2 linked regions of the Oryzias latipes genome follow. The protein of the gene in region 1 interacts with the protein of each later gene in a pairwise test. Links are inferred from orthologs where the notes say so. Each region holds a gene or a part of one and is shown on either strand. Other genes may lie near its edges.

The links.
Region 2: the proteins of nfe2l2 (region 1) and mafk interact in binary tests that used the Homo sapiens proteins (3 or more experiments, as listed by UniProt). The link is inferred for Oryzias latipes from reciprocal best matches to the Homo sapiens genes NFE2L2 and MAFK.

What each region holds. Positions count from the first base shown.
Region 1 is NC_019879.2:22,682,271-22,686,621, forward strand, and holds the start of nfe2l2 (nuclear factor erythroid 2-related factor 2), read right to left. Parts: upstream 3,008-4,351; 5' UTR 2,839-3,007; coding exon 2,812-2,838; intron 78-2,811; coding exon 1-77.
Region 2 is NC_019866.2:7,342,233-7,346,788, forward strand, and holds the start of mafk (transcription factor MafK), read right to left. Parts: upstream 2,895-4,556; 5' UTR 2,056-2,894; coding exon 2,045-2,055; intron 1-2,044. UniProt on the Homo sapiens protein: Since they lack a putative transactivation domain, the small Mafs behave as transcriptional repressors when they dimerize among themselves.

The sequences.
Region 1 (4,351 bases):
TGGTTGTAGTCGAAAACCTCTCGCCTGGCACCGAGGTCGATGTCCTGCTTCCAAAGTATGTCAATCAAGTCCAGGTCCTGAAAAAACAACCGCAAACAAAAGAGTTGGAAGCCATTGTGCACTCCTGCAGAGAGAATACGCTTAGTGCTGAAAGGAGAATTATTGTCCCTGCTGTGAAACATGGCTTTTGCACCTGCCACACCCTGTCCCCTCCGTATCTGTTCGCTCACAGCAACACTGGAGTTAATGTCACGAGGGAGAATGGCTATGAATAATAAACATGCTTCTCTGTTTCCCTTGTTGCCGCCACACACAAGCAGAATCCCAATTTGACACGTATACCCATCTCATTACTCCAAAGTGTGAATTCTTTTGTCTCGTTTAATCTCCCGGACAGTCAGGTAAGGTCTCAATGATCAGATTAAATTTCACTCTGGTAAACTAGCCTCAAGTGCTTTTATTTGGTAGCCTTTATAAGATAAGAATAAGAATGAGTGATCGTACATGTATAGCATGATCTGGAAAGAAAAAATGTTACACAAATAACTTCATAAAGTTTAGGGTAAACATTGCAGGAGTGTAAGGGTTGAACGTTAGACATGATATAAACTTTGTTCCATCCATGTCTGTGGACAGCTACGGTAATCTCTGGACAAGTTTGCAAAACAAAAGTCCATTTTGAATTCTGGGTTTACATAGAAATAAGCATGAAAATGTTTTCTAACCATTTCCTTTCAAATTGCTCTCACAGACTCAAATGTTACTTAACTTTCAAACAACACTCTTAAAGACAAATTATGCTACGCTCTTAGGGATTTTTTTTCACCATAATTTATTTACAGAAGAAAACTATTTCATAAGGCCTCAGGATATTGCATAAACCCAAGATACTCTTCCACAGAAAAAAACCACCAGACCATATGACTTTTTTTTTCTCCCCCAAATTCCTATGAAAGTAGCATATGAGCTTTATAATATTCTGTTTTGTGGTTTTCGCAGACTGAAACAACCAAAAAAAACTAGAAAAAAGGAACAAAAAGCAGACATTAAAACAATCCACTAACAGGCTGTGAAACTGCACTGAACAATATCAACAATTCTCTTTTTTTTACCTAAAAGAAAAGACATGCAGCATAAATAATCATTAACAAACGGGAAAATATTTTGGTCACTGTTGACACAGACTTTGAGACAGCGGCAAAGCAAAATAAGAACCCACTAAGTCTGTGCTTGAGTGTTGCATCAGAAGCTGGACCATTAAAGCATTACTCATTACTAAGGCTGGTGAGCATAAATCATGGCAAAGAGTGTAGAAGCCCAAAACCAGGAATTATGGTGGCTATAGGAATGAGGAAGTTCCCTAAAATGCTGCAGACCCCCTAACACTGTTGTGACCACACCTGAATTAAAGAAAAGGGAAAAAAAAAACGACTAGAAAAGAAGCACATTCTGAAACCAGTTTGACAGCTTTCTTAAAAATCCAATAAATACAATGTAAAAATACAATCAAGCGTTCAACACAATTCATTTTTCCAAAAACCAACTGTAGATTCAGAAGGACTACATATAATAACATCTTAAAAATCTTTAGATGGTATAGATTAAGCAGACAAACAGTTGGTGTGTGCATTTCTTTGTTTTGTTTTGTTTTTTTCTTCCGACACCGTGACCTTGATTCACCACAGTCTGACTGGCACGTGAACAAGGAAGCTTAACACGGGAACATTCTCAAATTTCCCAGATAATACGCAGGCGGTGAGCAGCTAAACCAACACAACCATCATGTACTACTTCTAAAATAGAAACGGAATGTACCAAGACCAACCGAAATCATTGATAACTCCTGCAATGTATGCCTACTTTAATGTAAACAAAGTCGAGTAAAAGGGAACTTGTGTTTATATTACACAAACTTATAACATTATGTTCTGGCAATGACGACACACAGCTTTTACAAAACTTAAAACATGGCTGAATGAGTCTTTCAGGGGGGCGTTGAACCAAAAGCAGCGGATATTACGTAAACTAACTTAATTCCTATATTGATTATTATTAGCTTAATTTGTATTTGTATGGAAAACCAGACAGACAGTAACGACACAACTTTTGAAGAACCTAAAACATAGCTAAACTTAGTCATTTCGGGGGAACGTTAAACCAAACACAGCAACAACAAAAAATTAAGCTAACCTCAATTCCTTGATATTATTAGCTTAATTTATATTTACATGAAAAAAACACGAGCGACCTCAAGCTGTGGTTCTATATCATGTGACACCAAAAAGGGGAAGAGCGAAAGCAGATGCTAATGTTATGTTTTAAGGAAGATACAAGCAAATCGCTACTCTAACAGTTTCACATTGGTTATAAAAGACTTCACTGCATTAGACACGGAATCACATGCTAGTAGTTCTAGTTATGGGATGGCGTTGGAGGGCCAGTCATAAGGAAGCAAGATTCCAATCTGTTTATACAAAACTTCACCCAACTTTGAGAGAAAAAAAGGCTACATGTTATAGAATCATGCATTACAATAACAAGATCTGAGTTTTGTAAGTCAATGAATGTGAAAGACTGACAACTTTCAGAAAATAATCTTAAATATCCAGAGCCATCAGCTGAGTGAGTAGCTAGCTTAAGAGACAGGTTGACGCAAAACATCCTCACAACATTTTTGTTTTCGCAATAAAAGCCTGTTATAGAAACTGAATATATATGAAACACAGCGCGAAGTCCAAATTTCTTTAAAGATTACTGTGAAACTATAATTGTCCGATCTCTAATAAAAATAAAATGTATATTTATGTTTACCTGGTTGGAATCTCCCATCTCCATCATTGTCCCGCAGCTTAAACGCCCAAAGACGGAGAAATAGTAGTGATAATCCAAATTTTTTTAGATAAAATGATGAGCAACCAAACGCCACAAGGGGCCCGTCACAGCGGCACCGGACTTTCGGGAAATATTGCCTCAGCCAAGGCTGGTAAACGTTAGGGAGCTGGTGGCCCGCCCGCTGGGGTCGGCCCACTCACGACGGCCTATGAGAATGAAGGGAAGCACTCAGTGAGCATGCGCGTTGGGCCAACTGGGCTCAGATGCAGCAGTTTTACAATGGTAGAGATAACTGTTGCACAACATATCAGTGGTTATCATGTAAAAGTTATGATCTATGAAAGAAATAACTACCGCTGGGATTTAATAAGATAACTTTTATTCAAATCAACTATTCAATAAACTCATAAAAGTCACCGACTTGCGTCATATAGATATAACTGCTTCAAGTTTTGTTTAGTGTATAGCGGCCCCTTCTGGTCACTTTATGTTATGTCATTGGACTAAAGGTTCTTCAACCCTCATATCCCCATGACTGTATTACAATGTAAAATGTCATAGAATGACCAAGAAAGGTAAAATATTTTGTCCAAATACTTTTTATTCACGATAGGGAGTTAACTCAAACAGGATTTTCACTATTTTTTCTTCACAAATTGTGTTACCTCTTAAAATAAAGTTTACAGAGAAACGTCAAAACAAACTTTTGATTTAGATAGTATGTAAGATTATTATGACCCTCCAATACTGTCAAAACTATAAACATTCACAATATGTTTGAAGTCAATATTGACTTAAACCAAAAATATCCTAATGTAGGCCATTTAGATTGAAAATTGAACTTTAGTCTTATTTATTATCAAATCAGCGTGAACTCTGCATGAACCTGGTACTAATGTGATGGAGATAGCCAGTTCTTGTGACAAAGACATGGTCTGTTTTTGCACTCTGTGCGCATTGTACCAATAAAAATAAAGACAAACACAATTCTTATGATATTTCCAATACTGGTAGATCTACAATCCATATATATAAACACGGGTTAAAATTCATCCAAAATGGGCTCAGAGGACAAAACACCAGCATGTACAGGTATAAAGTAAAGTACTTTTGATGTTTTGGAAAAATTATGTGATTTTAGCTAAAAGTTGTTTAGAAGTGTCTAAAAATGGTCAAATGGAACCCTAAGTTGTTAGTAAAATGGAGCAAAACGTTTGCCTGAAAAAAACAAAAGTGGAGGGTATAATAACTACGGTACATAAATTGCATGAAGTCCTTTTGAAAGTATTTAATTTATTAAACTACTAATGATAAGTGACTATGGTGTATTACTTAATTTGGGTCAGCACAGCACCTAAATTGTGGGCAAAAATACTAAGTACCTGTGTTGTTGTTGTTTTTTTCTTTTTATGAAGCTGAATGATAGTTCACTGGAAGTAATAAGGAGCAGTTTTGCAGCCCAGTGTGGGCTCATTTTGAATTTTCTAATGAGATGAACAATCAAGGACTCTCTAACGAG
Region 2 (4,556 bases), on another chromosome or scaffold:
AGATACTCAAACTCCTCCACACGGACACCTTTACCTGCTTATCCACGGAAGACAAACCACCTTTTTGCAACTGAGAACCACAACATCCACCTTGGAGATGCTAATACTCATACTGGCAGCCTCACACTTTACTCCAAGCCGCCCCAGTCCACACTGGAGGTTGGATGAAGTAAACTGAATAACATCATCTGCAAAATAAAAATAAAAAAGCAGAGATGAAATCATGTGGTCTTCAAACTGGACTGTCTCTGGCCCCTGACTGTTCCTAGAACCATGACTAAGGACATGTCCAACATGAAAATAGGTTCCACATAATACTGGCATTACAAACCAAACTCCTGCTTTAGTTGTACAGTGACCAGACTTCTTTGTGAGCTCCAGACCCAGATTTTCAGATCTCCTTCTACAGAACATAGCAAAGAAAAAGATTGAACACTGTCTTAAACTCCACAAAGCATGTGTGGATTGGATGGGCGAACTCAGATGAACCCTCAAGCACCCTGTGCAAAGTTCCTCTTTTTGAACAGAGGGACCATCACCGCACTCTGCCAGTCCAGACGCACTGTTCCCACCACTGTGGGTAGCTGCACAGGAATGTCACCAAATAACACATCCCAACTTCCAGACTTCCAACCTCTGCTTCCTTAAGGGAAGGTGTGTCAGTGCGATTCAGTACATCCTAAAATTTATCCTTACTCCTTTCAAGAACGTGTTCAGTTGGATTCAACAGCTCAGCTCCTTCACTGTAGACTGCGTTGGCAGATACATTTCCGTGTCAAATGTAAATCTATGACCAAAACACCAGAAAGCCGTGTGTAAAATGGGTTTTAATGTAATGAAAATCACACAATTATCTTTAAAACAGTGAATTTAAAGACCGATATTTTACTTTGATTTTAGTGTTCATATGGGATTTTCAGCTGTTAGAATTGTTGGTGTGTCGGGGGGGGGGGGTTATTTTCTAATCTTTTAACAACTTTTTCTCATTTTGGTTGATGATAAATGCGATGCTTGTATTTTAAGTCAGCTTCACATTTGGCTGCGTTTCCACCTGGGTGAAGGTTTTTGTTCTGCATTTACTTTCAGTTGCATTTCTGCCGAACATGCAAGGATCTGGTGGAGTGACTCTCCAGTTGCAGTGAGTAACTCCGGGGCCCTGCCTTCTCCCAAAAATAAACAGCATATCAAAGAGCTGTGTGTTCATGCATCAGCGATAAATGCAAAGCTGACTTGTATTCACTACAGAGTTGCTGCTTTCTGCAATCTGAGTGTGCTTTTTTCCAAGCAGATGGATTTTTTTTTCTGCCCTGGCTGAAGATGTGCCACCCTCTACTCTTCCTCCAGCGCAGCACATTTGGTGGGATATTATATGAGGGAAATGGAGTGCATGCTTGAATTGTGAGTCATGCTGTTTACTGGTAAAACCGACGATCAGCAGCAGGGAATCACACCCTCCTGATCTGGTGTTTCCTGGAAAATCCCGCTGTTTCACAGGGAGGAAGGAAAAGTACAGAGAACCTTGGAAGTGGTTCTGGAGCAGCAGCCGGAACTTTGGTGCGGAAAAGGGAGGAGGACTCCAAAGATATTCTCCCAGACGCAAGGATTCAAAGAAATGTCAAGAATGCATGGAGGGGGGGAAAAAATGACATTACAGCTCAGATTTTGCTATAATTGGGGGGGGGGTTGCATAACATTTTGGAGCTATTTGTATTGATGCCAAAATGCACAAATGAGAACAAAATTATTCCAAATCCATCCTCTATGTCTGAGTCCAGGACCAGCAGCTGCTGGAGATCTGATCACTACAGATTTTCTTGCAAAGGCAGTGAAGCCGTCAGATTGGATTGAAGGCAGACCTCTTCACACGCCCATCTTAAAATATATCTATAAGCTTGGCACAGTCAAACCGCAGGTTTCCAAAATCAATAATCAACAGTTGACCCTTTCTTTCCAGTAAAAAGAGCGAAAACCATCACAGAAAATGTGTTCCCTGTGACTCATCTTGTCTGAAACCTCAAACATTTCACTTTCACAACACTCTTACCACAAAAACATTTCACTCTCCGCTCCGTTTGTGTCCACTGAGTGACCAGCGATATAGTCAAAACAGAGCGAATAAATTCAGCTTTCCGTGTTTAGGAAGTGGGAATCCTCTGAAAACCAGTCAGCTGCTGCTACTTCTCCATCCAAAAAAGTCCTCATCACTTTAGTGACTGAAGCACACATTCATCTCATGATAAGAGGCGTGAGCTCTCACTGCCTGAAGGGGGGAACAATCAAGAGATCGGTGACAGGTCTGATTGGAACACAAGTATTTATAATTAAAACTGAAAAAGGAAAGAAAAAAGTGATAATGGAAAATTTAGACTTGGAAGCAGCAGGAATCATGAGGTCATTGCTCCCATTGTCTTATCTTTGCACAAGATTTCTGCTGACTAGAACCGAACACACAGATAAGATAAAGCTCTTTTCATCCATCAGGGTGATTCATGTTTGTAAAAATATTTGCTTTCTCCTCCTTTTGGGACCACTCAACTCGGGTGGTCTTTGGTGCCCTTTGTCCCACATGTCTAAAACTCAGACCACGTGTTGAATCTAATGTCATGGCATCTTGTAAAGCGCTCGTCCTATTTCCAGTGTCAGAACTAAATCTGGAGGGAATTTCAAGCGGGAAATGTTTCACTTCCATTTTCTCCAAAAGTTCATCTAAAGAAAAACGTGAAAGGTGGTTGAGTAATGATGGACTCAAAGGGTTTTGTAATCTTTACATAAGCACTTTACAGCCCTTTACTAAATAACTTTATTTTACTTTTTATTGAGCGAAAATTTTTTTGATCACTACAGTGTTGGATTAACAAAATAAAACGAACTTTTTAGCCTATAGCAAACGGGAAAACATTATTTTTTCAATTAAAAAATGATAATAAATTTGATTAAGCAGGCAAAACAAACAAAAATAACAATCAGAATATTATATCTATATATTTGCCCTCCGATTTTTTTGTTTTCAGACTCCAACATAGCACGTGTCGCGCGTATCCAGGTCCCAAATAGGGCTTTCTAACTGCTGCGTGGCCCGCATTACGCCTGGCTCTGACATGTCACCATGAGAACTTGGCCAATTTGTCAACAGATCTTCCAGAAAAAAAGAACAAAATAAGAAATAAAATAAAATGAAAAAACGAAAGAAGAAGTATCATCAAACAGCCTCACCTCTGTGGACGCGCGTCCGTAAACAGGAATGCGTAAAAGTCGCAGAATCTGCGTCCAAAGGAGGCGAAGTAGAAACTTGACCCGGTTGGTGTAAAGCGTCCGGCGGAGCCCGGGCAGCAGCGGATCCTCGTACTAAATTAACTACAAAACAACAACAATGAAGCACATTCCACGCTCTGCTTCCGCAAGCACTCACGTCACTGATTCCTCGTGACCGCCCCCTCCATTCATGAAAATAACTTTCTGCTGACGTCAGTCTGCGAGGTGGGGATGGGGGGGGTTGGAGGCCAGAAATAGAAAATAGATTGAGACTGCATTTGCTTACTTTACAAAACTTATCCAACTCTGCTCTGGTCTGATAGCAGAGACGTTTCTAGTGAAGGTCCGGGTCTTCTGCGCGCTGCTGCGCCTTTTCTCCTTTGGAGAAGCTAGTCTCTATATCCACGTCTGCGCTTAAGGTGCTCAGACAGACAGACATGCGATTTGGCTGAAGGAAAACGGACTCTGGGAGCAGCAGCAGCTGCATTCCATTCCCGAGGAAAGAATGTGGTGTAGTAGTCCGGCGGTCACAGGATTTCTCTTATTTTAATTCCAGCCAGTAACGTCACAAGTTATTCTGGGTAATTAAGAAGTGAATTGAAACGTGTTGGAGGAAAAACCTTTAAAGGCCTGTTTATGCTGGTTGGACAGTTTTAACTTTAGGAAACAAAGATTGCGTTGGAGAAATACTATTATTGAACCATTTCCTCCTAGAAAAACGTTAAAAACACACACACAGTATAGCACAAGATGGTATAGAACATGTATAAAGTGTAGCTGAGCGTGGTATAGAATTTTTTTAAAAAGTAGACCATAGTATAGTATACTATAAGATGGCATAGTATAGAATAGTGTTGTTCAGTAAATTAAAAGAAAGTATAAAGTAAAGTATAGGAAAACAGACTATAGTTTGTTATAATACTATAAATCATGTAATAGCAAAGTACACTATATTATTTTGAGGCACAGTTTAGTATAGAATAGTATAATAAAATGCAGAATGACATAGTACAATATAAAAATATATTTCAATAAAGTACAGTATAATAGATTAAATATAATACACATTACAAACGTATAGTTTTGACAGTATAATATAGAACAATACAGTGTAGTAGAGTAAAATAGTACAGTAGTATATAGCATAGTATGTAATAAAATATAGTATGGCATGGTACAATATGTAAAAGATGGTATGTTATAGTACAGTATGATGAAGCAATGGATAGTATAATACGCAAAGTAATGTATAGTTTGTGATAGTATAGCAAAGTATAGTATAATAAAGCGTAGCATGTCATGGC